2 linked regions of the Coturnix japonica genome follow. The protein of the gene in region 1 purifies or fractionates together with the protein of each later gene. This does not show direct contact. Links are inferred from orthologs where the notes say so. Each region holds a gene or a part of one and is shown on either strand. Other genes may lie near its edges.

Region 1 (3,095 bases):
CACACCCCATACTCACCATCGAACCATTCCACAGCTGTTTTGGCAGTGGATGGGTCATCATAAGAGACCGTGGCATCTCCTTTCGGTTTGCCAGTTTCTTTGTCAATGTAGAGGTGTATCATGGGCTGCCCAGTCCTCTTGTTCATCTAGCAGGACATCAAATCATTTATAACAAGTCACACATCCCCGTATACACCGAGTGGGGGCTCTCCCCCCTGTTCTGCTTTTGATCTGAGCTAACACTTCCACTTAGCAACTCCGTGGCAAGAGAAATGGCCCTCTGGCTTACCACACCAACAGCCACCCATGGCAACCAAAAGCAGGAACTGGCCCAGCAGCCTCTCCTGCAGGCTCCTGTGAGTGCAGGAATGGAGCTGCAGCCTCCCCACATCCTCCTCCACTCTCCCCACCGCCCTGCGCTCAAGCTGTCACACATCCCACCCGCAGCAGATCCACAGACGGATGCTTCCTGAGTCTGTAAGCACTGCTGCTTCTGCATGGCTGATGGAAGTGCACAGAGGGACAAAGCTTGATGAGGATCTTTTGGGGAGCTTGTGCTACAGGGCAGCTCCAGGCTGTGCTGATCTCACTGCCCATCAGAGCTGCCCGGCTCCACAGAAGGGGCTGAATGGGACAGTGGGCAGGGAGGAGGCAGCCAGCTCCCTTCTCTGTGCTCACCTGCACACACACGTTCCTCTCACCTTGACAACCCCGCACTGTTTGAAGAAGTCTGCCAGATCCTCCAGGGTCACGTTATCATTGAGTCCCTGCACATACACTGAGCTGTTGTCCAAGTCCTCATCCAGGTCTATAGGTGGGCCTAGGAGACAAATCTCAGGGTCAGGCAGTGGAAGAGGCAGCGATCCAGCAGCACGTCACCCCTCAGCCAGCTGCAGCTTCTCTCTCAATAAGTGCATTTATGAAGCGACATAGAACTGAGGCACTCCAGGAAACCCCAGGCACAGAGAGCAGTGCTAAGGGCTGAGCTCTCTGCTGCAGCCACCCAGCATGGCCAGGGCACCATGCAAGACCTCTGCAATGGGGCATGAGCGAGACCCAAAGGCACAACACACCCCTGCATCCTCCAGGTCCCGCATGTGGATGCTCACCCCTCCTGCTGCTATAATCCCCTCTTTCCTTAGGCTGATGGGGAACTACCAAATGTGTCTGTGCAGGAGGAAGAAAAGGGCCCCAGGTGGGGGTGGCACAGGCTGCCCATTGAGGTGGTGGGTGGTGCACCATCCCTGCAGACAGCCACAGGTAATGGGGCTGTGAGCACTGATGGAGCTGTGGGTGCCCCTGTTTGTTGCAGGGGGTGGTTGGGTAAGACGGCCTTTAAGGGCCCCTTCCAACTCAAACCATTCTATGATCTTATAAGGAGGAAGGAGACTGCTGGACAAGTGCCTACAAGCTCCAGACTGCTGCAGCCTGGAACGTGCTTTCTGCTGCTCCAGGCAGCCACACAGCAGCTCCTTGGCAAGAGCCCCCTGGCTCCATAGAGAAGCACAAGCATCTCACAGACACGTGTGGGCTTCCACCAGTCCAAGCGCTCTGATGAACCAGGAATAGAGAATCAGATGAAACAGCCCCAAAGAGACTGCAAACAGCAGAGCACCTCTGTACTTGGGTTATGGGAGGGCGAGATACGGGGCAACATCTTCTGCCAGCTGAGATGGGCACAGAAACCTCCACGCCAGCAGCCTGGGAGGGGTGTGAGCAGTGACAATTACCTAAGTCAAGGTCCGGTCCTTCCTCCATGTGTCCTGCCAGTCGGGAGAGAACCATAAGAAGCAGTGTTAGTGCAGGCCCTGCGGGCTGAAGGAGCGACACACACATCACTATCTACTTATAACCACCATTCGATGGCGCTGGTTAAACTCCAACTGACCCGCACTGCACAATCACCAGCAATGCACCTCTACGTGGCGACCGGTTCGCTGTTTTTAGCAGCCTTTCCATCCATTAACCACTATTGCGTGGGGTTGGTTTTTTGTCTTAATGCTTTACCAGGCCAATCCGTTTTACAGTTGGTTAATCCAAAAGTTACTTAAGAATTATCAAATCCAAACCATTTCTTTTCCCCCAATTACAGAAGTGGTTTCTCAATGCTTCCATATCACCTGTAACCGCGTACCCCTGGGCATGGCCGGCTCTACCCATTACAGTCTTGTTGCATACGTCATTTTTAACCACTTAAAACTAAGACAAATTACACTTTATTTTTTTCTACAGACTGACTGCAATTGGTTTGTTTTATTATCATTATTATTTATTATTATTATTATTCTTTTTTTTTTTTTTTTTTCCGTTAAACACTATCCATTGTAATGCTCAAAAACTTACCACCAGGCTTATTGAAGCCACCTCGCTCTCCAGCGCTGCTGGGGGGATAAACGAAGAAATGAAGGCCTTTCCCTTTACAAAGCCAGTACCGCTCTGAGCCTCTGCGGCTCACAGGGAAGAAGGGCACTGGCTAAACATCTCCAAACAATGCATCTGTCTCTCTCTCTCTCTCATCTCGTCACTATGCCTTTCTTCAGGGCAGCTCGCTCAAATTTCCTTTACATACACAACCTCGCTTGTCTGGTTCTAGACACCACTTTGCTGTCGGTACCCTTCCATTACTTTGTATTGGTATTAGCAGTGCAATACTTGGCAAAAAGAAAACAACCACCAAACCAAACTGACACCCATCCGTGAGCGTTGCAGATCAATCCCTGTGATCCAGGGCTGCCCGCTGGTCGCTCCCTCCCTGCGGCGTGTTCACAAAGTGCACCCTCAGCCTGCCGGGACCCTGACATTAACAGTTCAAAAGGGAGGAGATGACCACACGCGATGCCTACAACACAGTTCCGATGACATTCCCGCTCCAACCTCGGTATAAAGCCATACATTCAGGTCGCTACTGAACTTAACAAGTCTCTGAGGAGCAGAACTTACAGCGTACAGCGAGGGCTCCAAGGCCTGGGGTGCAGCTTTGTGGGCACAGACCGGACGCCAATCTGAGCACGTGCCAATGGCAGCTCGTGGCTTTGGGCAAAAGCTCTGCGTGAAGCTTCTGCTCACAAGTGCTGCTGAATTGGGAAAGGCCACCC
Region 2 (4,250 bases), on another chromosome or scaffold:
AAACGGGCCAGACAGCTTTGCACACACAGAATCATCTCTCCCACGCTTCCTCCTTTCCCCTCACTTGAGTTTCTCATCTTGAGAGTTGCCTTTCACATTTTCTCATCTTGATGACATCATGCACGTCACATATTGAAGTATCCCGTGTCGCTTTGACTTTAAACCTTTGGCAGACCGTTCCATTTAACACTTGTGGTTCTCTTTTCCCCCCTCTTCCCTCCCCTCCAGTCCTGAGATGCCCGAAAATGAAGCCACATTTGCAATAACTCCTGGAGGGATTGGAGATGCCAAAGAATAAGTGGGAACCTCATGCAGACATACAGCTGTTAACCACCAAGGCGCTTCGTTGGGATGAAGATCTGCTCCAGGTCGCTGCCTCCCCTGGCTGCTTTTTATCTGCTTGGAATCGTTTGAGAGGTGTTTGGGATAAACCGTGTGTGCTTCAGTGTTATTCAGCTGGTTCATTTGGGGTCTTCTCTTTTTAATTGGCAATAAATAGCTGATGGAAACAACAAGCCCAGGAGCTTTGCGGCACTCCATGTGTGGAAGAAGAGAATTAAATACCTGGAATACTTTCACGTCGGCCAGATTGCTTATTGAAGCACTTTTAGAAGAGAATGACCTAAAGTTGTTTATACTAAAGGGAATAATAAAGACCTAAAACGAGAACAGCACTCTGTGTGTCTTTGGGTGCTTCTCCTCCAGCCCCACTCTCACTCATCCCCAAGCCAGATACAACCCAACCTTTCACAACCCGTGTGGGGCACATCAAGCCGTTGTCTCGCAGCCAGGACAAAGCACACATCATGGCTGCCTCCCCTCTCGCTGCTGCCCGTGTGCTGAGCCCACAGCCCCCTGACAACCTGCCCTGTGAGGGGGCCCCGAGCCCACCCGGCCCTCGCAGCCCCCCGCACCCCCCTCCGCCGCACCGCCCTTATTGTCTCCTCCACAGCGGCAGCCGGCGCCCGGCCGAACAGCCGCATTCTCTAAGCGCCGCTACGCTGAACGATCAGCGTAATCCTCCGACCCTCCGCCAGCCCTTCCTGCACAGCCCGCGGAAGAATTTTACGCAAAACGTCGGGTTCTTCCTGCTCTACGTCAGCCTGAGTTACGCAAGCTGCGTACGCCGTGCGCTTACGTAACGTACGCCTCGGCCTAGCTTTTCCCTACCCTCTAGAAGGGGTTACGCTGTAGGCTCCTTGCGTAGTAGACTTTGAGGAATAAGAAGAGCGATACTCCCCTTACTCCCCGCCTCACGCAGGGGCTTCTGAAGCGTAGACTGTTACGCAATCTCCGTATATCGCTCTCTGTTCGGCGCAGTGTTCCGCCAAGAGCGCGTAGGGCGTAGTTGGCTTCCGAGAATTAACGTAGGCGTTTTCGAGAGCCGCAGTTTGCGCAGCGCCGGGGCGCCCGTAACGTAAGTGAAGCGGGTTGGGGCGGCGGCGGCCATTTTGTGCCGGGAGCCCGGAGGAAGAAGACGCGAGTGTCTCCACACTTGACGGGCCCTGGAGCCGACCGAGAGCCCCGCCGTTCCCTCTGCTGACGCTCAGCGGGTCTCTGACCCACTGACCACTTCTTCTTCGTTTGTGTCCCTCCCGAGAGCCGAGGTGGCGCAAACCGAGTCCTCCGAGACCCAGCCGGCGTTGGCCGGGCCCTCGCCCCGCACCCCCAGCCCTTCGCCGTCACCACGGCCGGCCTTCCGATGCCTCTCGCCCACCCCCCCGGGAGCCATGAGGGGCTTCGGGGACCGGGGGCGCGACCGAGACCGCGGCGGGTAAGGGGGTGACGGGGAAGGCCGGGCTGGAGGGCGGGGGGACGCGAAGGGGGGATGGGGGGGGCTGAGGAGCGCTCACCTCAGTTGGAGAGGCTGGGGGGGCGAGGGGAGGGGTCGGGAGGGGGGATTTCTCCTCACACTTCGGTGTTGAGGAGCGTGAGGGGGCACTGGGGGAGAGGACGGACATTTCACCCCTGTTTTTCACGTTGAGGGGATTTGGGGCCGTGTTATTATGGCTTTGGCAACAAGGGGTGGCTTTGTTTTTATTTACTCTTAGTAACGTGCCAAGCTTGCAATTCTAAGGCCTACCTCTTCCTTTTTTCCCCATATCCTTAAGTTATTTTCTCCTTTAACCAACCACCTCTCCCCTCCCCCCCCCTTGCCACCCCCCCACCAAACGTGAACGGGGATCTCTGTGGCCCTGACGCTGCCCTTCATGCTGTCATTGCTCCTTTGGAGCTCCCTCAGAAGATGGCAGTTGGTGAAGGGCCCTTCTCGTGAGAGGAAATGAGAGTGAAAGCTGCCACTGAGCTGCGTGCGTGCTCAGGAGGCCAGTAGCTGTAAACATGGCCTGGGCTGTGCTTAGCAAGCACGACCGAGCTGAGCGTGACCAGCCTTAGCATGACCAAGCTGATGGAGCAATCGAGTGGGAGCTGTCTGGCTGCCGTGGCTTGGGCCTAGTGCTTAGTGCTTCCAGTCTTGCTAGTTAAGTTAGGAAAGGGTTTTGTAGGTTTGACTCCTAAGGATGGCAGCAATAGGATAATATTATAGTATTTAAATGGTTCGCTACTTGGTTTTCTTCCTGAGGGTTAAAAGCAATAAGAGTCATCCTAGAGAAACTGGAAACCTGTTTAGGACAGTGGCATTTTCTATTCTTTTAATAGCTAGTAGTTAGGCCTCCTTTCTCAATGATTAACAATAAATGTATCGTATAGATTTTGTTACATTTTAGGTCTAGTTTGCCATAGCAATACTATTTTTCATGGCTTGTCTTTTTTTCCTCCTCTTTCTCAATGACAGATTGAGGAAAATTTTGTTTATGCATCGAAATCCACTTTAACATTTAGTTTCTCTTCGTCTGTGGAGGGAGATAGTCGCATTTAGGCTTTATCTTTGCACCCACATTTCTCACTCTGAACTTAAAGCATCCTTTCACTTTTTTTCACAGGGAGGAGGGTTGTGTTTTTCCACCATGAGCTTTCCGGCTGAGCACAACGCAGGGACATCAGTGTCAATGCTCTGGCAATCTGAGATAACTCAGGCCCAGCTGCTTTTGGAGTTTAGAGAGCGTATCTGAGTGTGTAGATTTATTTCGAGTTACCTAAAGTAACACTGTGCAGAGTGTTGTTACAATGCTTAGCATGCATGACATTTGTGTCGTCATACTCTGCAGGAGGGCTTTGCTTGTAGATTCTTCTGTTGTAGATCACGGATGTGATGTACGAAGTAAGGAAGGAGTGCCTTATTTGTCAGGATTTTGGACATCTGCATGGAAAATTGTTTTCTTGGCCTATTACAGCAGATTGACTGTATCAAGATTCAGCCACCGACAAGCATCACAATTCAGAAATAATTTCTCTGAGAATGTGGGGCCACCCAGGATGCCGTGTTCAGAAGTTCTTCACCTTCCTAGTGCTGACTCTTCCTTCAGCTAACAAATCCAGGCTTCCAGTTTTCTTCCTGTCTGTAATGAGCTGTAGGTGACTGCTTAGGATAGGCAGCTGTACTGTTTTGCTCTGGAATGTAGTAAATTCTTAGTTGTGTCCCAGAATCTGTGGCATAGTAGCTTTAGAAAGGAATGTTCTGGGTCAGTCTGAATTTCTCTTTAACTGAAAGGTGAAATCGGTGAAGTAATCTTAGTTTTAAATCATCTTGACCAGAGCTGGAATTGGGTGGTTCCCACCAGGTTACTGGGGATGGTTGTTGCAGGAGGGCAGCAGGGTTGGCTTCCTTCAGGTCAGTGTGCAGCCATATATTGCCTGTGGGGATGGAGAACTGGAACTGCCGCACTTGTGTCAGAGCGTATGATTCATAATCACAGAATCATCGAAATCACCTGGGTTGAAAAGGACTACAATGATGATCCAGTTTCAACCCCCCTGCTGTGTGCAGGGTTGCCAGTCACCAGACCAGGCTGCCCAGAGCCACATCCAGCCTGGCCTTGAATGCCTCCAGGGATGGGGCATCCAGAGTCTCCTTGGGCAACCTGTTCCAGTGCTCCACCACCCTCTGTGTATGGGTTCTTCCCTCTGGATAGCTGTGGAGCACATAGAGTGCTCAGCTGTTTTGGGGTCCAGTCTTACAGTCAGCTTTTCCTCTCGCTCTCCAGTGAGTCCAATAAGGATGTCTGTGCCTTTTGGTAGAACTGCTTGGTTACATCAGTAGTTACCATTTGGACTTCAAGTTAGCATGGTCAGCAGCAGGTATCTTCAGCAGAGCAGGATGTTTCTGGAAGTGATCTGTGCAATTGTTGTTT

Evidence for each region.
Region 2: the proteins of EWSR1 (region 1) and DDX17 purify together in Homo sapiens (affinity purification with mass spectrometry; 3 studies listed by BioGRID, with this or other methods). This does not show direct contact. The link is inferred for Coturnix japonica from reciprocal best matches to the Homo sapiens genes EWSR1 and DDX17.

Annotation. Positions count from the first base shown.
Region 1 is NC_029530.1:9,960,564-9,963,658, forward strand, and holds part of EWSR1 (RNA-binding protein EWS), read right to left. Parts: intron 2,382-3,095; coding exon 2,344-2,381; intron 1,764-2,343; coding exon 1,731-1,763; intron 821-1,730; coding exon 702-820; intron 147-701; coding exon 17-146; intron 1-16. UniProt on the Homo sapiens protein: Binds to ssRNA containing the consensus sequence 5'-AGGUAA-3'. Might normally function as a transcriptional repressor. EWS-fusion-proteins (EFPS) may play a role in the tumorigenic process.
Region 2 is NC_029516.1:46,423,031-46,427,280, forward strand, and holds the start of DDX17 (probable ATP-dependent RNA helicase DDX17), read left to right. Parts: upstream 1-1,412; 5' UTR 1,413-1,730; coding exon 1,731-1,774; intron 1,775-4,250. Other genes in the region: DMC1 (meiotic recombination protein DMC1/LIM15 homolog), read left to right, coding at 229-298. UniProt on the Homo sapiens protein: As an RNA helicase, unwinds RNA and alters RNA structures through ATP binding and hydrolysis.